Linked DNA regions of Danio rerio. The protein of the gene in region 2 interacts with the protein of the main gene of each other region in a biochemical or structural test. Links are inferred from orthologs where the notes say so. Each region holds a gene or a part of one and is shown on either strand. Other genes may lie near its edges.

What was found.
Region 1: the proteins of med23 (region 2) and elf3 form a complex in vitro, tested with the Homo sapiens proteins (4 studies listed by BioGRID, with this or other methods). The link is inferred for Danio rerio from reciprocal best matches to the Homo sapiens genes MED23 and ELF3.

What each region holds. Positions count from the first base shown.
Region 1 is NC_133197.1:678,209-682,479, forward strand, and holds the start of elf3 (ETS-related transcription factor Elf-3), read left to right. Parts: upstream 1-1,444; 5' UTR 1,445-1,545; intron 1,546-1,632; 5' UTR 1,633-1,639; coding exon 1,640-1,775; intron 1,776-2,136; coding exon 2,137-2,367; intron 2,368-2,772; coding exon 2,773-2,919; intron 2,920-3,007; coding exon 3,008-3,118; intron 3,119-3,210; coding exon 3,211-3,297; intron 3,298-3,661; coding exon 3,662-3,775; intron 3,776-3,859; coding exon 3,860-4,055; intron 4,056-4,168; coding exon 4,169-4,271. UniProt on the Homo sapiens protein: Transcriptional activator that binds and transactivates ETS sequences containing the consensus nucleotide core sequence GGA[AT]. Acts synergistically with POU2F3 to transactivate the SPRR2A promoter and with RUNX1 to transactivate the ANGPT1 promoter.
Region 2 is NC_133195.1:2,630,768-2,634,381, forward strand, and holds part of med23 (mediator of RNA polymerase II transcription subunit 23), read right to left. Parts: intron 3,132-3,614; coding exon 2,957-3,131; intron 2,423-2,956; coding exon 2,259-2,422; intron 2,115-2,258; coding exon 1,990-2,114; intron 1-1,989. UniProt on the Homo sapiens protein: Required for transcriptional activation subsequent to the assembly of the pre-initiation complex. Component of the Mediator complex, a coactivator involved in the regulated transcription of nearly all RNA polymerase II-dependent genes.

The DNA.
Region 1 (4,271 bases), on a different chromosome or scaffold from region 2:
TGTGTGCGTGTGTGTGTGTGTGTGTGTGTGAGCGAGCGAAAGAAGGGGGGGTGGGTGTATATGAAGTGTGTGTGTGTATGTGATGTGAGGTGTGTGTATGTGTGTTTGGAGGGGCTGTGTGCATGTGTGAAGCGTGTGTTTGTGTGGTGTGCTGTGTGTGTGACAGAAAGAGTGTGTGTAATATAGGTGGTGTGAGGTGTGTGTGCATGGTTGGTGTGAGTGTGTGTCTGGTGTGCAGTGTGTGTGTGTTTGGGGGGGGGGGTGGTGTGTGGGTTGAGTGGGTGTACTTGAGGTGTGTGAGTGTGATTGCATGTGTGTGTGTTGGGATGTGCATGAGGTGTGTGTGTATGTGTGTGTGTGTGAGCGAGCGAAAGAAGGGGGGGTGGGTGTATATGAAGAGTGTGTGTGTATGTGTGTGTATGTGTGTGTGTGTGTGTGCGGGTGTATGTGTGTGTGTGTATGTGTGTGTGTGTGTGTGTGTATGTTTTGGGGTGGGCTGTGCGTGTGTTTGTGATTGCGTGTTTGTGTTGGTATGTGCATATGAGTTGTGTGTGTGTGTGTGTGTGTGTGTGTGTGTGTGTGTGTGTTAATGATTGTGTGTGTATGTGTGTGGTGTGCAGTGTGTGTCTGTGTTTGGGAAGATTGTGTGTGTGTGTGTGTGTGTTAATGATTGTGTGTGTATGTGTGTGGTGTGCAGTGTGTGTCTGTGTTTGGGAAGATTGTGTGTGTGTGTGTGTGTATGTTTTGGGGTTGGCTGTGAGTGTGTTTGTGATTGCGTGTTTGTGTTGTCATGTGCATATGAGTTGTGTGTGTGTGTGTGTGTGTGTGTTTGTGATTGTGTGTGTGTGGTGTACAGTGTGTCTGTGTTTGGGAAGATTGTGTGTGTGTGTGTGTGTGTGTGTGCATGTATGTGTGTGTGTATTGGGGGGTTTATGTAAGGTGTGTGTGTGTGTGTGTGTGTATGTGTGTGTTTGTGTGTGTATGTGTGTGGTGTTCAGTGTGTCTGTGTTTGGGGGGAGTGTGTGTTTGTGTATGTGTGTGTGTGTGTGTGTGTGTGTGTGTGTGTATTGGGGGTTTATGTCAGGTGTGTGTCTGTGAGAAAGAAAAAGAAATGGAGTATGCGTAGTGTGTGTGTGTGTGTGTGTGTGTGTGTGTGTGTGTGTGTGTGAACTCTCATGGTAAATGTGTCAGTGGTATACTATTTGCTGGTATTTATCTCTGGGTTGATGTTAGCTGCCTTGTCAAGTTTCAAGTTCATGTTTCAAGGTCTGAAGAGCCATTCTGAGGAAAAAAACCCGAGGCGTGAGTGGTAGAGCGAGAGAGAGAGAGACATTCGCTGGAATTCCCCCTCCCTGAGACTGTGCTCACCTGGCCCCGCCCCCGATTCCATACCTGGCCGTGCCCATTTCAGCCCTATAAATACACGAGGAGCAGGTGCAGCAGAACGCTCAATGCTAAAGCAGATCTCTCACTGACTGGATTATTACTGACGCAGCTCTCACACTGGGATTTTACCTGGAAAACAATCTTTGACCACCACAACTGGTAACTAATCAGCATTTTAAATCATATTTCTACACAAAAACACGTGTATTTCTGAATTCTAAATTGGCGTTGCTTTCCATCACGCAGGATCCTCATGGCGTCAAGCGAACTTAGTCTAATTCTCAACAACGCCAATGCCAACCTGTACCCTGAGCCGCAGGCCAGCCTGTTGAGCATGTGCAGACCACCGCATCTCTCCGAGATCACCTTCAACAGCAACAGCACATTAGGTAAGAGTGCACTCCTGCTCACTCAATAACGGCTCTCATCCTCGCCAGGGATGTTTCCCATCACCTAAACGAGAGTTCAGACATGCTGATAATCCCTCAGTCTGACCTCGTGAATAATTAACCCAGGCAATGTTTAACTCGGGCCCGCAGCAGACGTGCAGGAATGCTTTCGTTAGGCTCTTTCAGCCATTGTTGACAATGCGATCAAAACCTGCAGGGTGTCAACACAACCGATAGTTAAACACACAACAGAAGCTGCGGCCCTGGAGACAGTAAACCTGAGCGGCTATTCTTCTATTGTTAGAGGCGTCTCGTCATGTCAGGTGTGATTGAGGCTAAATGTGCTCCCGTTCTCCGGCAGGCTCCTGGGACCAGGTGAACCCGCAGATGTGGAGCAGGCAGAACGTTCTGGAGTGGATCGGCTTTCACGTGGAGGAGAGCAGATTCGACGCCGGCTTGCTGAATCTGAACTACTGCACCATGGATGGGCTCACACTTTGCGCAACATCCAAGGAAGCGCTGATGAGCATGTTCGGGCCGGAGTTGGGCAATCTGCTACACCACAGTCTGGAGAGCCTGAAGGCGAGATATGGTGAGTAACTGTTGTAGATAAACTTGCTGTTTAGTAATTGATGTTGAACTATTTGGAAGTAACACACACCTGAGGTGCTGATGTGGCCGTTAAACCTCATGATTTACTAAGAATTCAATGCCCTGGAATCAATGTAAAAGCATCTGTTAGGGATTCATTGTTTTGTCCTTAATCATCTCCTGTGTGTAGCACTAGTGTCCTCCACATCTCCTCCTGCTGCTGTGTTTTGTTGTGATTTTTGACTGTGGTAGTTGTGATTGAACTCATTCAGCGGGGTGATATGCAGCTGTAATGCACTCTTGAACTACTTCAGCTTTGAATTTATCCACAAACGCTCTTAAGGATGTAAACTGTTCTGATTTTTGGTGGCTGCATGCATTAACAATCTTTTTGTTGCATCCCTAGTTAATGACCTATCTGAGAACACCGTCCTGAGCGAATCCGAGTTTGAGCTACTAGACAACATCCTGCAGAACTCATTTCCCTCCATGCATGGACCAGGCCTGGGGCCTCTGCTGGAAACTGTGGTGGTCCAGTCTACAATTCCAACAGGTGAGCCGCAAATCCCACTCAAGACAAAAAACCCCCAGAGAGCAGGTCTATCCCTACTGGGAGTAACATTTAAAATTGTTTGTTGCAGACAATTCAGACGCCAAATACAGCTACTTCGATGAGTACACCAGCCAGCTGACCCCAGAGAGTGACCACGGCTACGACTCTCTCACGGAGAGCTTTCAGAGTTCCCATGCTGGTAAGAATCCCCACTAAAACCTAAACAACTCAGGTCAAGGGCGCTCTGTGAACGAACATTATTGAACATGTACTTCGGTTTGTCCTGTGTAGGCAGCTTCCTGAACCCGAGCTCACCTGAGTCCAACAGCAGTGATTCTGACCCTGAATACTCGGAGACTCCTTACTCCATCAGCTCCAGTAAGTTCCTCTCACTCGTCTACAGTTGCTCCACCTCACTCCTGCATGGCGATCTACCTGCAGAGTTTCACCTGAATAGGCCGACATGTGTCGTCAGGACTACCTGACAATCACACAGGCTGAAACTAAACTCTGCAGGAAGATGCTCCTCGAGTATACTGCCCTACAGAGGACAGTATCTACGCAAACACAAAGCTTTGACAACAGATCAGATTCTGTAGTTAATATACGTAGATTTACACCTCAATATTGACCAAATGTGTAGATACTGCTCCTTTTAGGGCAGCATAATAATAAGGGAGTTCCCTGGATGACCCCAAAACACAAACCTCTGACATTCAGTTGTATTGTCTGCTTTCCACAGAGAACTTTTCAAAACAAGAGCCAGAAAAGACCAAGAGAGGCAGAGGACGACCTCCCAAGCTCAGGGATAGTGACGGATTTGATCACTTCATTCAGTCCAAGAAAAGCAAACATGGTGAGTACGCAGAGCTCTGCCTTTAGAGGCTCCTGATGCACACATATGCAGTGTACTAAACTAGACTCCACTGTTCCCCCAAAGCTCCAAGAGGAACCCACCTGTGGGAGTTCATCCGGGATATCCTGATCCACCCGGAGCAGAACCAGGGGCTGATGAAGTGGGAGGACCGCAGGGACGGCGTCTTCAAGTTCTTGAAGTCTGAAGCTGTTGCTCAGCTCTGGGGGCAGAAGAAGAAGAACAGCAGCATGACCTACGAGAAGCTCAGCAGAGCCATGAGGTATAAATCAATCCTAAAATCACTGGGGAGCCTGGGAGCAATAGGGGAGTCTGGGTTTGTGGCAGTGGAGCCTGGGACAGAAGAATAATCAAAACTCTTGCTCTTTCTGACAGGTATTACTACAAGAGAGAGATTCTGGAGAGGGTGGACGGACGGAGGCTTGTTTACAAGTTCGGGAAGAACTCCACCGGTTGGAGGATAGAGGAGACCGGTTAT
Region 2 (3,614 bases):
CGCGCGCGTTCTGATCAGCTGTGTTGTCGCGCGCGTTCTGATCAGCTGTGTTGTCGCGCGCGTTCTGATCAGCTGTGTTGTCGCGCGCGTTCTGATCAGCTGTGTTGTCGCGCGCGTTCTGATCAGCTGTGTTGTCGCGCGCGTTCTGATCAGCTGTGTTGTCGCGCGCGTTCTGATCAGCTGTGTTGTCGCGCGCGTTCTGATCAGCTGTGTTGTCGCGCGCGTTCTGATCAGCTGTGTTGTCGCGCGCGTTCTGATCAGCTGTGTTGTCGCGCGCGTTCTGATCAGCTGTGTTGTCGCGCGCGTTCTGATCAGCTGTGTTGTCGCGCGCGTTCTGATCAGCTGTGTTGTCGCGCGCGTTCTGATCAGCTGTGTTGTCGCGCGCGTTCTGATCAGCTGTGTTGTCGCGCGCGTTCTGATCAACTGTGTTGTCGCGCGCCTTCTGATCAGCTGTGTTGTCGCGCGCCTTCTGATCAGCTGTGTTGTCGCGCGCCTTCTGATCAGCTGTGTTGTCGCGCGCGTTCTGATCAGCTGTGTTGTCGCGCGCGTTCTGATCAGCTGTGTTGTCGCGCGCGTTCTGATCAGCTGTGTTGTCGCGCGCGTTCTGATCAGCTGTGTTGTCGCGCGTTCTGATCAGCTGTGTTGTCGCGCGTTCTGATCAGCTGTGTTGTCGCGCGCGTTCTGATCAGCTGTGTTGTCGCGCGCCTTCTGATCAGCTGTGTTGTCGCGCGCCTTCTGATCAGCTGTGTTGTCGCGCGCCTTCTGATCAGCTGTGTTGTCGCGCGCGTTCTGATCAGCTGTGTTGTCGCGCGCGTTCTGATCAGCTGTGTTGTCGCGCGCGTTCTGATCAGCTGTGTTGTCGCGCGCGTTCTGATCAGCTGTGTTGTCGCGCGCGTTCTGATCAGCTGTGTTGTCGCGCGCGTTCTGATCAGCTGTGTTGTCGCGCGCGTTCTGATCAGCTGTGTTGTCGCGCGCGTTCTGATCAGCTGTGTTGTCGCGCGCGTTCTGATCAGCTGTGTTGTCGCACGCGTAGAAAATACCGGTGTTGTTGCGCGCGTTCTGATCAGCTGTGTTGTCGCGCGCGTTCTGATCAGCTGTGTTGTCGCGCGCGTAGAAAATACCGGTGTTGTTGCGCGCGTTCTGATCAGCTGTGTTGTCGCGCGCGTACTGTAAAGCGGGGAGGGGGGTTGAGCGCGCATACTCAAGAGCGGTGTTGTCGCGTGCCTACTGAAGGGCGGGACGGAGGGTGTGACACAGCACACTATTCAGATTGATACAGACATGAGACCTCTATCTCACTCATGGCTTGTCCTCTCAAGTGGGGGAAAGACAATGCACAACGTTACGCACTTTTTTGGAGTATTTTCATAAGTTTTGTTTTTTCCTGTAAATGATTCAATAAATACCGTACCGTGACATTCATACCGAGGTATTACCGTACCGTGAAATTCTGGTACCGTTACATCCCTACTATATGTACACTACACACCAGCTGATTGGTGGAGAGGGTGATGAAGCCTATTATGATAATGGGAGGGTAAGGAAGCCAGGATGGACAGAGGCCAGAGGGCAAATTTGGCCTGGATGCCGGGGTTAAACCCCTACACTTTTGCAAAGGACATCCGGTGATTTTTAATGACCACAGAGAGTTGGGACCTCGGTTTAACATCTCATCCAAAACACGGCGCTCACTGAGCAGTATAGAGTCCCCTTCACTATACTGGGGCGTTAGAAACCAGATAAACCACAGGTTAGGCGCCCCCTGCTGGTCTCTCTAACACCACTTCCAGCAGCAACCTAGCTTTCCCATGCAGTCTCCCATCCAGGTACTGACCGGGCGCAGCCCTGCTTAGCTTTAGTGTGCGACCATGTGAGAGTTGCAGAGAGCCAGAGAATGTGTGTGTTTGTATGAGAGTATGTGCCAGTGTAAATGTGTTTATGTGCGCATGTGTGTAATGCTTGAGCGTGCATGTGTGTGTGTGTGTGTACCTGCAGTGGAGCAGGGAAACAGCTAAGAGTGTGAGAGGCCCAGTTATGAGGTGTGAAGTTCATGATGGTCTGCAGGATGTCTTTACACCAAGTGCCCTGAATCGAGTCCGAGCCTGTAAAGAAATCTGCATGCACACACAAACAGAGAGACAGACCGACAGACACAGGCAGAGACATACAAACAGATCTGACTATATTCAGGACTACGCATTTACAATGTAAAAAAAAAATTAGTCGTAAGTGTGTGTGAATGAAATGTGTGTGCGTACCTGTGACGTGAGTGGCCCGGGCCAGTGTGAGGATGAGTGCTCGGTTTAGCTCCTCAGACTCGGCCGACAGCACTGTTTTTGGGTCGTTGAGGAACCGTGTGAACTGAGGCTGAACCTCGGAACTACCCAGAGCCGTGATCAGGCGCAGAGCTGTGCTTTCAACACTGTCAAGAGACAGACAGACAGACAGACAGACAGACAGACAGACAGACAGACAGACAGACAGACAGACACACGCACACACACGCACACACGCACACACACAGAGAGAAAGAGTTGAATATTAATGTGATATATTGAATAATATGATTTATTGTTGATATTTTATTTAATTATTATATATAAATATCATCTTTTTTTATTTATTTTTTACCACTACTATTGACTGTGTGTACTGTTCTTTTTTTAATATATATGCATGCTACTTTTATGTAAATTGTATAACTGCTTTGACAATACATTTTTAACAATTGTCATGCCAATAAAGCAATTATTGAATTGAATTGAGAGAGAGACTCTGTAAATCATTATGGATTATTAATACATAAATATAGTTTTTTTTTTATTCACAGGAGGGCAAATAGTTTCGACTTCAACTGTATAACACTTGTCGATCATTAATGGCATGAAGTGGAAACTAACAGTGAAGTTAAACAGTTATCAGTTAAGTTGAACAGTGTGTGTGGGCGGAGTCTAACCAGAGGTGCAGCTGGTTCTGATTGGTCTGTGGGACAGCGGCGAGCGAGTGCAGATGGGACAGGAGCTGCACGCGGTAATGAGGCTGAATGTGGTGCATGCGGTAGCTGAACATCTCCAGCAGTGTGTGCAGAATCCCCCACGCGTGAGACTTGAACACATTCGGCAGAAGCTGACCTGTAAGAAAGACGCATACAGGTTTATCTTTGTGAATTGTGGGGACCTTACATAGGTTTAGATTGTTTTTTTAATGAACAAACTGTATTTTGTATCGCTCTAACCCCACCCTACCACCAAACCCAACCCTCACAGGAAACTGTAGACAGATTTACTTTCTGAAAAACACTCAGTCTCTGTGATTTAGAAGCTTTTGGAGAAATGAGGACATCAGCAATGTACTCACGGTTCACCACATTTTTGCAATACCGGTGTCATACCCCTGTCATTATACACATTTGTGTCCTGATAAGTCAGTAAATCCTGATTTTGAATTATACACTTGATTTGAACTTTATCTCATACTTTTGATTTAGTAATTAGATTTCGACTTAGTCTTTTTGTCATAATTTTAAGTTAGTTTTTCATCATTTTGACAAAACAACTTATCATTAAAACAACTTATCTCAATTTTGATTTAGTAAGTCATAATTTTGAGTTAGT